Linked DNA regions of Kluyveromyces lactis. The protein of the gene in region 3 interacts with the protein of the main gene of each other region in a pairwise test. Links are inferred from orthologs where the notes say so. Each region holds a gene or a part of one and is shown on either strand. Other genes may lie near its edges.

What was found. The genes of interacting proteins can lie anywhere in the genome.
Region 1: the proteins of YOP1 (region 3) and SEY1 interact in binary tests that used the Saccharomyces cerevisiae proteins (3 or more experiments, as listed by UniProt). The link is inferred for Kluyveromyces lactis from reciprocal best matches to the Saccharomyces cerevisiae genes YOP1 and SEY1.
Region 2: the proteins of YOP1 (region 3) and POM34 interact in a protein complementation assay, tested with the Saccharomyces cerevisiae proteins (2 studies listed by BioGRID). The link is inferred for Kluyveromyces lactis from reciprocal best matches to the Saccharomyces cerevisiae genes YOP1 and POM34.

Annotation. Positions count from the first base shown.
Region 1 is NC_006042.1:1,887,376-1,891,602, reverse strand, and holds SEY1 (dynamin-like GTPase SEY1), read right to left. Parts: upstream 2,801-4,227; coding exon 440-2,800; downstream 1-439. Other genes in the region: NEJ1 (Nej1p), read right to left, coding at 1-168; protein GET4, read left to right, coding at 3,199-4,107; polyphosphatase DDP1, read right to left, coding at 4,150-4,227. UniProt on the Saccharomyces cerevisiae protein: Cooperates with the reticulon proteins RTN1 and RTN2 and the tubule-shaping DP1 family protein YOP1 to generate and maintain the structure of the tubular endoplasmic reticulum network. Has GTPase activity, which is required for its function in ER organization.
Region 2 is NC_006042.1:1,442,172-1,445,242, reverse strand, and holds POM34 (Pom34p), read right to left. Parts: upstream 1,689-3,071; coding exon 501-1,688; downstream 1-500. Other genes in the region: MEU1 (S-methyl-5-thioadenosine phosphorylase), read left to right, coding at 1-355; PSR1 (phosphatase), read left to right, coding at 2,439-3,071. UniProt on the Saccharomyces cerevisiae protein: Functions as a component of the nuclear pore complex (NPC).
Region 3 is NC_006041.1:596,442-598,972, forward strand, and holds YOP1 (Yop1p), read right to left. Parts: upstream 1,146-2,531; coding exon 1,095-1,145; intron 993-1,094; coding exon 501-992; downstream 1-500. Other genes in the region: APL4 (AP-1 complex subunit gamma), read left to right, coding at 1-322; alpha,alpha-trehalase ATH1, read right to left, coding at 1,771-2,531. UniProt on the Saccharomyces cerevisiae protein: Required to generate and maintain the structure of the tubular endoplasmic reticulum network and the vacuole. Induces high curvature in membranes and causes membrane tubule formation. Involved in membrane/vesicle trafficking.

The DNA of each region.
Region 1 (4,227 bases), on a different chromosome or scaffold from region 3:
CTTTGGAATCTGCTCTGAGCTTACACGAAACCGTAAGAACTTCTCATCCTCGCAGAGCTTCAGTACACCGATGATGGATGACGATGACTCTTTCGTAATTTTAGCCAACGAAATATCATTATTTATGTGTAAAAACTGCCAACTTCCGGTGGCTTCTTGGTTTGACATAATAATGGATGACCACACAGCTCCGTAAAGGACCTTGCGGTGCAATTCTTTTATCTTTTAGAGGCTGCACTTTCAAAAGTTCATTAAACCCTTCAATAGAATGCTAAAGCCATTTGACTGTTTTTTTCATAGTATTTTAAGGTTCTATTCACCACCGTTCAACAGGGAAGTTAACCATGGAAGCTAAAACATTATTTGGATATCGATGATATTATCTCGGAATCCTATTAAAATATTTATATACAGCAAGTGTTACTACATAATATTGTAATTATAAATGCTGGTCATTTTTCGAAGGTTCCTTGTCTACTCCTTCTGACTCATGTGGTTCGACGAGTATCTTTCTCTTTGGTTCCTCATCCACTACCAAGCTTCGAACAGTTTGTTTCAATACCGCAGTTGCTTGTCCTGTGGCTTGGTTGGCAAATTGTAGTAATGGACCCCATAAGTTTAGTTTGTGAACAAAATATGCTCCGGCAAGAACAATGATCGATAAGATGATCGTAGCGGGATTCCTGAGAATAGTAATGATTCTACCCCATCCCAATGCAACCACTAGTGCATACATATACAAGGGGATACGTTCGGTTGTGTTTACGATAGACCTTTTAGCTTCAATTATTACCAAATCTGTGAACTGCTTGAATTTTGTAATAATTTTATCTTTTTGCAATGCAGAAAGGACATGGGAAAACCTTTGTTGATGATATAGCCCTGCTTCTTCTTCTTCTTGGCCGCCGTTCTCCTCGTAATCGGATCCATCTCCATCTGATTCCAGTAGAGCTTCAGGGATGAGTATCTCCACATTATCTTTGTTCTTTACAATTGCAAGGGCATCCAATACACTCAATGCCTGACTTTTTGCCAAACGATATGAAGCATCTACTTCTGCTTCATTTTTCCAGAATTTCGGCATACCGTCATCATCGTATCTGAATTTGTCGTTAAAAACGTTTCTCATGATATCAACAACATTATCTTCAGTCAAATACCCATGAACCGTATGATCTAAAAATGACCAAGCATTTCTTTTTAATGTGTGCTCTGTTTTGTCATTCGCATCAGTAGTGGCTCCAGTTTGGAAATCTATTTTACCGTCTTCATTAGTGTACTTCTTCAAACTACCATCTAAGAAACTAGTGAATTCTTTCATAACGTCATCCCATACATTGATAGTAGGTTTAGCAAGTAGATGAAGTATGGTATCCTTGAGTTTGATAGTTAGACCCTTATTGAACCTCGCTACTATCGCATTAAGTTCACGCTCCTGAAGATCAGCAACCTCGGTATTGACGCGAGCTTCGAATTTAGAGATATATGCATCCATGGAAGATAATAATTCAAGTTCTGAAAATGGAGCAAGGTTTGTTTTGAACGTCCTTGATGCTTTCTCGAGAGCTGATTGTATTTTCAGCTTGAATGGCCCCTTCAAACTTCTATCTCTTGCATTCTTGTGGAAAGTTTCAATGAGGGATGAAGTAGTTCTTGTAACGAAATTCGTTATCGTTTCGTCGATTATCGTATTTAATTGTTTGATCAAATCATCTCTACGTTCTTCATACACTTTCTTCGCGTAACGTGAGGCGAAAGGGTCATAGTCGACATCAATACAGGTTGATTGTAATGTTTTTAGTACTGTTGCAAGTTCTTTCCCATCCAAGGAGTCAGTGACCTGTGATTGATAGTCATTCAAAAATTTGTTGTATGCTGCTGCTGCAATCTCGTCGGTTTTGAATCTAGCTACGAGAATCTGCTGGGTCGGCAAATCAAGATCTTTGTTATTCTCAATTTGTTCCCAGCAGTTTTCTGCATAAAGAGACCATCCATCCAATGGCAAGTGAGTATGGTATTCATCTTTGAAGAAAGAGGCATCTTGGTCAACGAACAAGTCACCCAAACTCTTCACATCATTATCAAACTGTTCAGGTTGGAAGACCTTGTGGCCCAAACCGAAGAAATTTGGAACGAAAAAATCATGGAAAGATGTATCTTCACAACCTTCAGGCTTACTTAGCTGTGACCACATTTTTTCTAATTCCAGGACAAGACTGGCTTCTAAACTTTCCAATGGTGTTTGGCCGGTAAAATCTCTAATGACAAACAGCAATGCTACCTTGTGACGATTTTCATTCTTGCCAAATAACGAAAGATTCACCTCGAAAACCGTTTTCAACAACCCCATGTTATTCCCCTGGTATAGCCCGACCTGGTTTTCCCACATATTCACGATTAGAACCTCGGACACTGATAATGCAAATAGAGCAGCTTTCCTTTCAAAGTCTTGATCCTCACCTCTCTCCGCACCATCCGAACCTTCGACATCCAAAACAAAGAAATCAGGAATGGATTGGTTGGCAGCTCCAGAGCTGTATATATTGGCAGAATGGGATAACCAAATACCTCTAGTAGTCTGTTGTCGTTTAACCTGTGCATCCATGGTATCGAATTTTGTATCGAACAATTTATTCAATAACGTCGATTTACCACTTGATTGCGATCCAAAAACAGATATGACATGATACTTTACTCCAACATTTTTATCCCCAAGGCACTTCGTGAAATAGTTCAATGTCGAGGGATTGAATTGTTTGTTCTCATCGATGAGCTGAATAGCTTCTTTGAGATCACTCATGCTACTGTTTGACAGCGTTCCCTTAATAATGTAACAAAAACGAAATGTATCACCTCACTAAGCAGATATTACTCGGTTCTAAATTGTAATTAAATCCCTTGGCAATATAGCTCAGCTGCTGCTCCAGCTGTTATTGTCCTTTACCCTATCTTTCATCAGAATAGTTAATGAACGAGTCAATTTCAATATTGGTTTTGTTGAGTTTCAATATTTTAACGGTCCGAAATTTCGCCAGGAAGAGAAAGAAAGAACATGATCATATTGTAAAGGTCCAACGAGTGAACCACAGCTTTCGTGTTTCTCAGAATCAAGTTATTTTGTACTTATCAAGAGGCCTTTTGAATCCGTTAGGCGAGTTTTTACATACCTTAATTGTTTTTTGATCGAGACACTTAGAGATGAGTGATAAATTAACGAAGACCTTACAGAGATTCAATGCGAGAATTGAAGCTGGTGATTATTATGAAGCCCATCAGACGTTAAGAACCATTGCTAATAGATATGTGCGGGCCAAAAAGTATGATGAATCGATTGATTTGATTTCTCATGCAGCCGGTGCGTTTTTGAGGTCCAAGCAAGGTGGTTCTGGTTCAGATTTGATCTTCTATCTACTTGAAGTTTACGATTTGGCATCGGTTCCATGCAATGACTCTTCGGTCTCTAGACTCATTCAATTACTCGTCCTCGTTGACGGCCAGGAACCAAATTTAAAGGATGTAGTGACAGGGATGAACAATTGGTCTGTGAAACATAGTGAATATAAGTTTGGTGACCCATACTTACATTCAGCGATCGCTACAAAATTACTTGAAGGTGGATATACATACGAAGCGGAAAGATATCTAGTGCTAGGTACTCATGACTCGATGAAGCGGTATGTGGATCTACTTTGGGACTGGTATCAGCAATCCGGTGAGGACTCCAGTTTCCCCGATTTCATATCAAGAATGATATTCAACTATTTGTTCATCTTCAATATCGAATATGCATTGGAGGGATCTAAAGAACTTTTAAAACGGTTTACCAATCACAAGACAGATGTAAAATTTGAGTTAACAGAGAAAGGCCCATATAAGATTGATTATTTCTCATCGTGGGAATCGTTGAACTTTTTACAGTTGTTAATAATCGCATGTCAAACTCAAGAAACTATTCTTTTCCAGAATCTAAAATCACAATACTCAACTCTTGCCAACAAATACAACTCTGAGCTACAATTCTTGGGCCAAGAATACTTCGGTATCAAGGTCGAGAAACCAATCAACTTCTTGCAAGATATGATGTCTGGTTTCTTTGGAGGTAAATAATAATAGTCTTCGGTATAAACATACTCTATGTTATATATAATGCTAACTTTTCTTGATGCTACTTCTATTCAGAGCCTCAATGAGCTCTGGCCTCTTGGCACGGGTCAAGTTTTCTTTGGC
Region 2 (3,071 bases), on a different chromosome or scaffold from region 3:
CCGTCTGATGGGTGGAGATGTCATCAACATGAGTGTGATCCCTGAAGCGAAATTGGCTCGTGAATGTGAAATTCTATACCAGATGGTTTGTATGTCTACCGATTATGATGCATGGAGAGACGAAGAAGAACCAGTGTCTGTACAAACTGTTATCCGTAATTTACAGAACAATGCCAAAAATGCTAACCATTTGGCATCCCGGGTCATTTTAGAAATGGCAAAGCAACTTCCTGAATTTATGAACAACGGTGATGGTCTAAAGGATGCCATGAAGTACTCCATTTCAACAAAACCTGAAGCCATGTCTCAAGATGCCTTGGCCAAGCTAAAGTTTCTATTCCCAAACCATTGGTAACGCTGTAAATTTCTCTTCTATAAACTTTATAAACTATACGCGGTAGGTAGCCATGTAAGTAATAACATTCTTATCATAACTGCTATCAGAGGTTCGAAACCAAAAGAAGAAGAAAAAGAATCGTTCTCCGAAGTACGCATGCTTTTCAGCGCTTCTTCATCGCACTTGGTGAGTCCATCATATAAGTATACCGGTTGCTTGGAATATATCCGGGACGAGTGTCTGGCTGTGAGCGTGTCGATGTGAATAAAGTTGTAGGAGTATTGGAGACATTTGTTATGTGATCGACACCAAAGGCGTTTACTTTCTTCGGTTGTAAAGAGAAAGATACATGATTTTTTTTCACTTCTGCTTGCTGAAGGGTATTCAACTCACGCATTTTCATTGGAGTCTGTAAAGATTTGAATATGAAAGGCTTGTGGCTGGATTTTGATTCTGCTTCATTTAAGGATTTCACTTTAGAGTTACCTATATTAATTGAAGGATCAAAGGATCTACCATAGTCGGGGGTGCTTTCCACAACCCCTAACAAGCGTTTTTGATTCTCGGTTAGATGCAAATCTGATATGTCCGTATTTTGTGCTTTTATCAGCAAGTTCCAAAGACACGATGCAATGTTAAAAATGACAATAGTATGGAATATACTGGTTGCAAATTGCCAAGAAAGCATTTGGAACCAAAATGAATTGATGTTGGCATGTGGGTTAATCTTATAAACAACGTTTTTCAATACGAAAAGATACAGTTCGTCTCGAAGTTGGGATCCCCTTTTAGTGAATTGGAAGAATAATGACACGAATTTGTATATGAGATTCCAAATCATTGCCAACACTACATTAGTCAACAACCTTCTCATCTCCAACTCTTTATTAACCATACGAGATGTGAAAGCAGCCAACGCCGGGTTTTCGAAATCAGTCAATTTATCATATGCGGAATCTTCGGAAAAGTTCAAATCCGTTTGTTGTTTCTGTCCCACCGGTTCGTCCGGTAGCAGATCAGAATTTGTCACTGGTGCGGTATCTTGCTGTGTAGAATATGCCTGGTTACTTTTTCCTCGAAAAACAGGGGATGCGGTATGTGTATTAGTTGATGCTGAAGGTTTCGCGTCAAATCTGCCAGAGAACGCAGATGCAGCAAACACAGAGGAAGAATCTGACTTGGAAACATCAGTCTTGCTGGTAGGATCACTCAATACCTTGTGTTTATACAATGCAGGCGACTGTTTGATAGCTTTTTCCCTTAAGGATTGAAATTGCTGCTGGCTCAAAGGCCTATTGGGAGTCTGAAAAGTCTTGGCCGGTGTGCCAGGCGCAGAAATTCCATTATCCATTGCTACTCTCACCTTTTTCCTTTATATATCTTGATCCCTGTATTTACGGGGTAAACTCTCGATCAATTACCACAGTAAAAACACCACTAATATCAGGATATGAAACTTACCGTATCCAGGTAAAAACTGAACGATTCTTATTTATTAACATTGAAGAACTAGCTGTGTTTTTAGTAGTTAAACTAAGAAGTGAATCTTCAAGCCGGCCTCTATCTCTTTCAAGTGAAAAACATCTCGTTACCCGCACCATCTTGTGCCAGGGAAAAGAAAAAATTCTTTTTGCTTCGTTTGGTTCGTTCTTTAAGTTTTGATGTTCTGTTCAGCATGGAAAAACCAGAAACAGTCAACTTTTGCAGATTAAACAATTTTGAGAATAGAACATTGGTCATTGACTAACTCTCTTATTTTAACTGCAACTTAATTTTTTTTGGAGGCCATTTACAGAAGGGCAGTAAAGTCTTGAAAAGTACCGGGATTTGTCAGTGTACGGGTACTATATCAAGGGGCCAGTGGTTTCAGGGAGCCTGATTGGTTTGTGTATTTAGGTTTTTTTTGTTTGCTATCTTTCTTTGCTTAGATAGAAAGAAAGAACATATATTAATAACAGTATCAATCCGTTTGAAAAACCAATCTGATTAATATCGGTTATCCATTTTTTTTGGGCTCAGTGTGTGATTTTTGGTTTCTCTCACTCGCTCAGTGTCTCGATTTATTTATAGGTCGCTGTTGATTTTGTTAGGAATAAAAGTGATGGGATTCATTGCATCTTTATTGTGTGGTTCAAGCGATTCGGATAGCTCTAGGAAACAGAAGGGTAGGAATTCATCGTCAAGTAACAATAGTAATAAAGGTTCTAGTGGGTCAAGCTCGGAGAAAAGTAAGAGCAAGAATACGCTAAGTGCAAAGAAGAGTGGACGTCCAGGGGTTGCTGCGACTCATTCAAGACAATCAGAAATTCATACTACGTTATCCAATTCTACAGCCAAGATGCATCTGAAAAAGAAAAATGCGGCGAACAAGCATAGCTCAACTGTAGCGGCTGTTGCAAGTGCGCCTGTTGAGAAGAGTCCGCTGTCGAAGAATACGGCTGCTGTTAGTAATAACGATACTGATAGTGATGTCGTTGACGTTGACATGGTTGGAGAGGAAGATGACGATGTGGATGTAAAAGGGGATGAAAAGCAAACACTGTTGGTATATAACGCTGAATCTGATACAAGTACTGGCACAACTGCAGACACCGCAGTGTCTGCAACTCAGCCAACTGCAGAGGTCACGACCACGATTCACGAGACTGAACATACCAGTAGTGCGGATGACTCCGAGGGCATTCATAGTCAAGGCGTTAGCGATGTAGAAATGACAAATGGGGAGCCCGAAGAT
Region 3 (2,531 bases):
ACCACCAAACTCTATCAATATCCACTCATCTGATATTGTTGAAGTTTATGGTAAAGTAGAATCGTCAATCCCCGGTTGTACTGAAATAGACCTATTCTTGAAAGCTAAAACGAATATTAATACCTTACAGATCCTAATCGCTGTTCCTAAATCACAGAAGGCAGAATTCGGATCTCTGTCAAGCCACAAGGTAGCTACAGGTGAAGTAGCTAAGCAGGGTCTTAAAATTCTAGGATCTGGGAAAATCAAGCTAAGGGTCAAATTGAATATCAACTCCACCGAGGATCAATTCGATTATAAATTTGAAAACATCCCCCATTAACGAGCGTTAAAGATGCCTTAAAGTAATATTGTGTAAACTATAAAACGATATAACAATCACATCATGTAGATAAGGGATCTATGTCGATAAACACCGGTACGAGTTCACATTTCCGCAATCAAATAAGCGAACTCAAAAGAAAATTGGACCAGAGGGTGATTTTTCAACTAAGAAGAATTTAACGGGAGTATCCAGAAGCCTTAGCGTTGTTGGCAGCAGCTTCGACTTTCTGGGCCAGTTCTCCCGATTTCCCTTCCACGATAGGTAGGTATTTGTCAGAGAATGGTGAAATCAACCTCGTGTAAACAAGTTGGGCACCGCCGAATGATGGAATGGCAATGTACAGTAAGAAAACAGTCTTAAAGAACCAGTAGAATGGAACCCAGTACAAAATAGCCTTGGACCAGAACTCGATCACAGACAAAAACGAAAAAACAATCCAATAAGTTAACAATTGTGTGTCATCCGTTGATGTGGCAGTCTTCAATGCTTTCAAAGAATAGTATGTTGGAATACAGAATCCAACAAAGTTGGATAAAATCTCACCAATTCCACCAACATTGATAAAAATTAAGAGAAAGTAAACAGCAACAAGACCAACGATAACATATGATCTTGGCAATTTTGTTTGAGCTTCAATACGAGACAAAATTTGATTACCAGCGAATTTCTAAGTTAGAATTGGTTAGTATATTAAGTTTTAAAGTAGTATTATTTTCTCTGTTAGTTACGAGAAGCATCCGAAAGATAATAAAAATCCTAGTAAACATACAGTGTCCAAACCCTTCAAGGAATCTTGAAATAATTTCAGATAGTCTGCCATTGTTGTTTGATTGTAGATTTGTTGGATTGATAGAGTGCAGACTTAAGGTAAATCAAAAAAATTTGAAGGAGGAGGAATTATCGCTCACTGGCAAGTTAGATGTATCCCTTTAAATTTCATTCTTTAGTTTATATTTTTTTTTCACTTTTCAGAATTCGTTGCGTTTTAAGAAACAGCCAGACCTAATGGAATGTTCTATCCGAGCCACAGAAAACGAAAAAAAAAAAGAGGAACACTAACTTTAGCAAGTGGAACCAATATGAGCAAATCACCACCGGTTTCAACAAGTCGCTGCTTTAGCTCAGTTGGGAGAGCGTATGACTGAAGTTCATAAGGTCCTGTGTTCGATCCACAGAAGCAGCATATTTTTTCTAATCCCGTACGCCTTCTTTTTTTTTGGTTTTTTTTTCGCCGCTGAAGTTTCGAACGTTCATATTGGAAGCTAATACTATTTAAAAGTGTCAGATTGAGTATATGAAGGAATACACTAAGGAATGCCAAAAAAAAAATGAAAACATTTCATTATGAATAAAAACTTTTAGGGACAGCATTTGAATTAGCTGACCGACTAATCAAATAACTATCAAACTAAAAATGTCCCGTATATGAGACTTATGTGCATGTCTTATGGGAATAATGCAAATTCTTTAATTGTCGCTCCCTTTTCATCATCGTCATCATCATAAGTGTCATGAACAGTTAGAACTATGAATCTTCCCTTTCTCCAATCAGTTTGATTGCCACGAAAATCAATATCAACATTTTCGGGATTCATTTCAGCCACTTTTGAATAATCAATATCGAAATCGGTCTCATTTCCAGGCAATAATACAATTTGGGACTCATTATATACTCGCCATGGGTATGGTTCTGATGGTGTTACCTTATAGTGATCCAAAATCTTTACAAATTTAGTTTTCATATCTTTAAGTTCAGGATGAGTACTGATTATACTATCTGGATCAATACCGTACCAGTCAAAAACATCTTCAATCGCTGCATCAAAACCTTTTTCTGTCCGTTCCAAATCGCGTACACATTCATCACCAGTCTTATTGCAATATTGATTGACGTTTGATAATATATGCGTCAAATTTTTGAATACCTCTTCTGTTTGTGGCAATATCGACAACGAAAAGGTCTTTGCAGGCCTCGAACCCCATATAATCTTGCCTGACTTGATCTCTTGCGTGAAATTATTCCCCATATCGATTAATAGCCTTGCTGGCAAGTTTTTATATGCGGGCTGCCAGTGTGTGAAATTATTACCGTCGATAACCGAAACAGCAACATCACCAGGAACGCCAGCTGTTAGGTTAGTTATTTGCTTTGCTTCCACGAGGTTTCCCTCAAGATTTTTTTTCGGAATATATAACGGAGTCTTGA